2 linked regions of the Neodiprion lecontei genome follow. The protein of the gene in region 1 purifies or fractionates together with the protein of each later gene. This does not show direct contact. Links are inferred from orthologs where the notes say so. Each region holds a gene or a part of one and is shown on either strand. Other genes may lie near its edges. The genes, in order: glycine--tRNA ligase; isoleucine--tRNA ligase, cytoplasmic.

Region 1 (3,926 bases):
TTTCACCACGGTTGGGAGCTCGTCCAACTGAAACAGAGAAGAACACATGTTTAAACTCCCAAAACGTTTTAAAGATATGGAAAAAAAAGATGTTTTCAAAAGCTCAATTTTGGTTTGGTAAGATAAGTATAGCACATTACAGCCGGCTGATCAATATAAGAAACTTACATTTATTCTGACTTGATCCATGCTATCCCGTTCTCTAAGGGTTGCTGTATGCGGAGTCTTCAGAGAATCAAAGTCTATTGTAATGCCAAAAGGTATGGCAATTTCATCTGTACGAGCATATCTTCTACCGATACTGCCTGAAGAGTCGTCTACTCTATGGGATATGTCGAATGCAGTCAAATCTTGTGCTAAAATGACAAAATAAGGTCAATTTTAGATAGTACATAAAAGATATCTGAACAAGGTGAAAAATTGTTGGCTTACACCCATTAATTATGGGTGGCACTTACATAGTTTCTTAATAAATGGTGTAAATTCTGTATTACCACTGAGTGGCAAGACAGAACATTTCAGGGGTGACACTGCTGGAGGCAAACTCAAGTATGTCCTTTGCTCATCACCTTCTCTCATCCGGAAATTGTGTTCAAAGAGAGAATACATGACTCTACCAACACCAAATGAGGGTTCAACGACAGACGGTGTGATTTCCTCAACGTGTAAAGTTTTTTGGTAACGTTTTATCGAGACCATGTCCTTTGTAATTTTGATTGATGCCCCATCATGCAAAACGAGATCGTAGTCCTCGTTTTTACTTATTTTTCCTTCAAGCACCGCGATTTCGTTTTTATTCAACGCAGCCAGTGCGTCCAAAACTGCTTTGGCTTCCTTTTTAAATGCTTTACCTAGGACACCCTTGTTCGGGAATGCTTCGACAACGTCAACGACTTTTGGCTCAGCCAGCTTCTTTTCAGCGATCAATCTGACCCCTGTCGCCTTAGTGTGCTGAGTAAGATCGTACGCGGACCTGTCTGCGCATCCAACACACTCTATCCAGCCGTAGGACGTCAAGCATTCAGCGTCCCAGCAATCGCAAGCATAATGCGCCATTTCGTTGCCCATGTGCTGCCGAAAGCGTAACTTAGCAGGATCTATTCCAACTTTGAGTAAAAACTGCTGGATCCTAGCCATGAAGTATCCTAGAGTCTCATTGTCTACTAGCCCTGTCTTTACAGCTTCTCCAATTTCCATGTATTCTGCACTTTTCCCATCCATTTGGCTACATGCAGAGTAGAGATGCATCTTAGTGTGCTTCACAGACTCGAATTTCGGATGATTTTTATCGTTGGGGTCGCAAAAATGTTCAATCTCAGCCATTGTGAATTCTCTGACACGGATGAGTCCGGATCTCGGTGATATTTCATTTCTGAAAGCATTACCAATCTGTGCAGCAGCGAAGGGAAGCTTGCCTGAATTGAATTCCAACAGCCTTTTAAAGTTCACGAAAATTCCTTGAGCAGTTTCCGGCCTCAAGAACCCTTTGATCAGTCCAGATGGGCCAATCTGCGTGGCAAACATCAAATTGAATTCGATAGGTTCCGTTAGATCATTGCCAGTTATCGGTGATTTCATGTTGAATCTCGACACAACTGCTGCTAGTTCTTGCTTACTCATACCATCCAACTTGATGATGATGTCTTGGCACTCAGCGCGCAAACTTTCGTCAGTTTTCTTGTCCAATGAAACTTTCTCCAAATGTGCTTTTATGAAATGATCTAGCCTAAAGCATTCTCCAGTCTTTACATCCTTTATCATTAAATCTGCAAATCGGTCCACATGTCCAGAAGCTTTTAAAACCGGTTCAGGCGTTAGGATGGAACAATCAACTTCTAGCATCTGTTCCTCTAAAACAAAGAAGCTTCTCCAGACGCTAAGGAAATTTGATTTCAAGGCACATCCCATTGGACCGAAATCATACTGTCCTGTTATCCCACCGTAGATGGCAAACGACTGGTCAAGAAAGAACCTTCGCTTCAGAAGATCCTCCATTTTTGCACGATCAAACGACGCCGATGGGATCAGCGACAGTTCCTTGTCCTCAAGGAGCTTTTTACGTGCCTTGAGCTCTGCAACAGCCTTCTTGACATCAAAGTCTGGTGCTCCATCAGATTTAAGTTTACGGACCAGGTCCCCCTTTAAGAAACAAAAAAGAAAATTATAAGCCAGAGTGACAAGATTATTGGACGAGAAGAAAGAAAGCCATGCTTACTCTGATGCAATACACAGACGGATTTTGTTAGAGGGGAAATACATGCAGTTTTCTTAATTTTTTTTCGCGAATTCTTGAATAAACCGAAATACAAAAAGTTTCCAAACATTGTGTTGTTAATGAAAACTTTTTTGGAGTAAAAATCTGAAGCCATATGGCACTCACCTGCTCCTTGACACTTGATCGCAGGGGCGCGAGGACCTCTTCTATCTTTGGATCTGCCATACTCTGTAGCTGAAAGTGCAGCTTTACTTTTCTGTGCTTCTTCTTCGAGCCCCACTGAGGAGTTTCGGAATATAACCTCGAACTAACAGCAAGATTTCTTGAAATTTGATCGAGGAACCTGAGATATTTGATCCCGTACCGAGCTCCAAACTTGCATGTGGCTCGCACAGTATGGAGAAAAATCTGCATTCGCAGCGATCTCGATCCCCAGTTTTCGCCGGGGAATTGGCACGCTGGTTACCGACTACCGTATAGTTGTCAGATTCTACCGGAAACAGCACGAGTAAGATGAAAAGAAATGGGAAAGGTTAGACTTCGTAGATGGGAAAAATCCTTTTTTTTTCTTCCTAATAATTAGAACGGAATTAGGACGGAGAGATATAATTATTCCTTCTTTGAAGTGCTAGTTGCATTACATTGATCATATTCGGAATTGGCATAGGTTTATGATTGCCTATGGTTGGCGATTGTTGAATACAGCTGAGTGCAACAAACAGTAGCAAAGCTACTGACCGGTCACAATCGTTGTGCGTGTTCGGATATACGAGTTGGATTCGTATCATATGACGTCATTGTTCGAAGTTCACCTTGTACCTGCCATACTTTCGGAACGTACGAAGTACTTTGCTGAGAAATTAGCACCCGGTGTAGTGGCAGAACTGTCAACTGAAGCGTCTACTTCGACGTTCAGATAAGTCAGCGGGCAGCCGGTGACAACTGAAAGAACGGGGAGAAGTGTAAACAGAGTTTATCATTAAATATTTGTATTTGGAAGAAAGACTTTAGTTATTGAGACGCAATGGGACGTAGAAAGAGCAAAAGGAAACCGCCGAGTAAACGAAAGGCGATCGAACCGCTTGACACCCAGTTCAATTGTCCGTTTTGCAACCACGAAAAATCCTGCGAGGTTAAGATGTGAGTAAACACAAGATACGGATAATTGCGTTGTTGTTAGATATATTTGTCACTTTAAAACCGATTATCATATTAAATGGCCAATTTTTTTCAGGGACAAATCAAGGAACACGGCCAGAATAACGTGTCGTGTATGTATGGAGGACTTTCAAACAACCATAAACCTATTATCAGAGCCTCTTGATGTCTATAATGATTGGATTGATGCCTGTGAGACTGCCAACTAAACTGCAATTGTAGCAGAAGAAAAAACGGAAGACAAAGATTAAAACACTAAATTATATTTCGCTCTAAAGCATGATGGACTAAACTATAGATTCAGAACTGACAATGGTATTCGAAATACGATGCAAGGGCCATGGATACCTCTTTTACTTGAGTCATGCCACATTCTGGTTATCATCTCTTGGTACACAAGCTGTATATCAGGAGACTGGTCACATTTGCGTAGATCTTTTGTTGATCTATAAATGTTCTGACAGTATAATCAAACATAAGTATCTTGCAATAGTATTGATAACTGTAAAGAGGCTGACATATTGGTGTCGCGATACCTGCACATTTAAAATTT
Region 2 (3,926 bases), on another chromosome or scaffold:
CATGAATTCAGTTAAAAATGGTGTAAACGGTGCATTTATTCTCACCATTGTATAGAGAACAGAGAATAACGTGTTCAGCGCTTGTTCACAATCTCTTGTTCCTCCATCACCTTTTATTCGTTTTCTGTTCATTCTTACGTACCAATTGGTTAGATTATCTATAAATTTTATCAGTCGAGGTACGACAGTGTAAAGTCTATAAGCTTGCATTTCTTCTTTTAGAAATTGCAGCAATGACTGAGTAAAAGAGGTGAGCCATCTATCCATTATATTGTCCGACGAGTCAGAAATCTTCTTGGTTTCATTGTAATTAAATGGTAGTTTTTCTTCACGTTCAAATCTCTCAACATTTTGCATCAAAAATCTAAATGCGTTATACCATGGCAAAAATACGTCTTTTATAATGTCTCGCACACCTTCTTCTTTGAAGCGCAAATTTTCAGCCCTGACTACTGGGGAGTTGATCAAGTACAACCTTAGAGCATCAGCCCCAAATTTATTAAGTACTTCTTTTGGATCTGGATAATTCTGCTTTCGTTTCGACATCTTCTGACCATCGGCAGCAAGGACCAGACCATTAGCAACTAGATTTTTGAACGGTGCCTTTCCAAATAATGCTGTAGAAATTACCAGCAAGGTGTAAAACCAACCACGAGTTTGATCGATACCTTCGGCGATGAAATCAGCTGGGAAACTATCTTCAAAGTCTTTGACTCGTTCAAAAGGGTAATGCATTTGAGCATAAGGCATGGATCCAGATTCAAACCAACAGTCAAATACTTCCGTGACACGTTTAAGAGGAGGATGCCCAGGACGCTTAGAAGGAATGGTCAGATGGTCTATACTTTCTCTGTGAATATCTTCAATCTTGGATCCAGTCAACTGCTCTAATTCTGCAATACTTCCAACACACACAATTTCCATTTTGTCCTCGGACACCCAGAGCGGTATGGGATTACCCCAGTAACGATTTCTACTGATGGCCCAGTCCCTAGCATCTCGAAGCCAATTACCGAAACGTTTGTCTTTAACATATTCAGGCACCCAATAAGTTTCAGAGTTTGCGGTTATTAGCTTGTCTTTGAATTGTTCAACCCTAATAAACCAAGATGGAACTGCTTTGTAGATCAACGGAGTATCGGACCTCCAACAGTAGGGATATTTGTGTTTGCTGGTTCCACTGTGAACAAGTTTTCCTTTTCCTTGCAGATGCTTTATGATATTTTTATCAGCAGTCTTGACATACTGACCCAAAAAGTCACTTACTGGCTCTGTAAAATTACCGCAGTTATCAACAGGGCAGACAACAGACTGATCACGAGTTATTATTCCTGCTGCCAAACAGCAGCGATAATCATCCTCTCCGAAGTATGGTGCTTGATGAACAATTCCAGTACCAGTTTCAGCAGTTACGTAAGTGTCGTTTAATACCACGAAGGCTCCTTTTTCCCTCAGATCGCAAAAGTAGTTAAATGGTGGCTCATAGCGTTTACCTTTAAGGTCAGTGCCCTTCCTCTTACCAACTAATGCATACTGATCTTTAGATTTGTATATAAGGTTCAAACTTGACTCAAGTATGACGTAAATTTTATTCGTAGTCAAGTCTTTCGCCTCGACATACTCAAAATTCGGATTGCAACATAATGCCAGGTTACTGGGAAGAGTCCACGGGGTTGTCGTCCAAGCCAAAATAGATATTCCAGGTTCGTCGAGCAGTGGAAAAGCGATTACTACCGAAGGATCGGCGATGTCTTTGTAGTTCTGACCAGATTCAAAATTGGATAATGGAGTATTACATCCGGTAGAGAAGGGCATTACTTTTACACCTTGATATACGAGACCTTTGTTGAATAATTCCTTAAAGATCCACCATATGGATTCCATATACCAAGGATAAAGAGTTTTATAGTCATTCTTAAAATCGATCCATCGTCCAATCCTTCCAACAATAGTTTCCCACTCAGACGCATAGCGCATTACAATGCTTCTACATTCTTTGTTATAGTTGGCTATCCCCATCTTGGCTACATCATCGGGGCCCTTGATCCCAAGCACTTTGTCGACTTCGAACTCTACTGGTAAGCCATGTGTGTCCCAGCCAAATCTTCGCTCAACATGAAACCCACGCTGATGTGCATACCTCGTGACTATGTCCTTTATTGACCCTGCTAACAAGTGACCATAATGTGGCATACCAGTAGCAAAGGGTGGCCCATCAAAGAAGGAATATCTAGGTTTGCCTTTCGACTGTTTTAAACAAGTATTAAATACGTCCAATTTTTTCCATAACTCGAGGATGACTTCTTCCTCTTTGGGAAAGTTTATTGTATCTGGTAGTTTTTCCGTCATTGCAGTGTTACAATTAGATACTTTGTGATAAACGAATGATGCAACCTGCTACTTCGCAGCCGTATTAGATTGATTTGATATTATTGTATTAGCAGCAGAAAACTATTCACGTGTGAATTCACACATCTTCCTTCACGACTCTGTGCAAATACTCTATGCAATAGTCAGCAAAAAACCGATTTTAGTTTAAATAAATAAAAAGTTTCACACCGGCTGTTCAAACGACCTCAACGCAACGTGCTTCTCTCATCAGCAGAAGTTGCAAATTGTTTTTAGGTTATACTATGGTTATATTCTCACAATCACTGTTCTAGTGTTCTAGCCTGATGATACGAGTTTGTTGGCCGTTGAAACCATAGATATGTAAAATAGAGCGTAAGCAATGGTTTAATTGTCCTATGAACGGAATCGAGTCGGTTCTCTAAAGGACAGCAGATAATAATTCTCGCGCTCTCTCTGTCGCTCTACCCATGGAGTGTGGGCTACGAGAGGGGGGATGAAAAGCCTAGGCAGGTATGTGCAGCTACCCCCACTCCATGGGAAGAGCCACAGAGAGGGCGCGCGAATTATTATCTTCCATCGTTCAGAGAACAGTTAAATCTCTTCTGAGCGTCGTGCCGTGCATCAGTCGTTTCCAAGCAATCGGAGTGAAATAACGTGTTCTCAGTATCGGTTCAAGATTCAGACCGCGTTGTTCAGGTGGTGTCACGTTGTTCGATCAGTGTATTTCCACCATACTCATCTGTGAGTAATACACGATGAGCAGCGTGTAGCCTGTGGAAAAACCGAGTGACTGAAATAAAAACACCCTGCGAATGGTGAAGGTGAATTTCGTGTCCCGAGTTTTCATTGTTTTATGTAATTTCAGATTTAAGTGATGTCTATTTTTGGCTCTGTGCAACGAGTGTCAATTTTATTCTTTTTTTTCTTTGGCTGATTTTCGGCAAATGCGCAGTTCCGTTGTTAGCAAATTTATTTGGTCGGTTCAAAGATACTGCTACAGCACAGAAAGTGAGTGTAGAATCGAGTATCGTTACGGTGCGGATTTTCGGATTATAAGAAATTACTGAAGATCTGAATAGTGTGAAAAATGCGTCACTTCACCAATAAACCTGAGATGCTACAAGAACTACTACGTGTTAAAGTGTGGAGCAGCCCAGAGTCGAGGTAACAATACTTTAATTATTGATTGATAATTCACGGTGGTCATTTAAAGCCGAACTTTTGTTCTTGCATAACATGCAATGTATAAATATGAATCTCGATAACAGTAATAATTGACTTGAAATCTGAAAAGCCGATTTCCTAAATTAATTCAAGTGTTTTGTTTTGCTTTTCACAGATTTAAGCAGAGACTTCCGAGTAACTTCTCCATTTCTCGGCAACGCTGGTGAGTTTGCATGTGTTAGGTTACGGGTTTTTCCCTGGTATTCCCCTGTCACGTGGCGTGGCGGTAACAATTGTTACACAAATCTTCGATTTCTTAGCTGCATGGTTAGGCTCATTCACGATCGCAACGTGCTTAACTTTCGGTTGAATAATTTTTTTTCGCAATGCAATTTAGCGTAGCTTACTTC

The links.
Region 2: the proteins of glycine--tRNA ligase (region 1) and isoleucine--tRNA ligase, cytoplasmic fractionate together in Homo sapiens (co-fractionation; 3 studies listed by BioGRID). This does not show direct contact. The link is inferred for Neodiprion lecontei from reciprocal best matches to the Homo sapiens genes GARS1 and IARS1.

What each region holds. Positions count from the first base shown.
Region 1 is NC_060263.1:40,313,119-40,317,044, reverse strand, and holds the start of glycine--tRNA ligase, read right to left. Parts: upstream 2,907-3,926; 5' UTR 2,630-2,906; coding exon 2,381-2,629; intron 2,140-2,380; coding exon 459-2,139; intron 357-458; coding exon 169-356; intron 28-168; coding exon 1-27. Other genes in the region: transcription elongation factor 1 homolog, read left to right, coding at 3,240-3,355, 3,450-3,582. UniProt on the Homo sapiens protein: Catalyzes the ATP-dependent ligation of glycine to the 3'-end of its cognate tRNA, via the formation of an aminoacyl-adenylate intermediate (Gly-AMP).
Region 2 is NC_060260.1:8,081,840-8,085,765, reverse strand, and holds the start of isoleucine--tRNA ligase, cytoplasmic, read right to left. Parts: upstream 2,777-3,926; 5' UTR 2,350-2,776; coding exon 1-2,349. UniProt on the Homo sapiens protein: Catalyzes the specific attachment of an amino acid to its cognate tRNA in a 2 step reaction: the amino acid (AA) is first activated by ATP to form AA-AMP and then transferred to the acceptor end of the tRNA.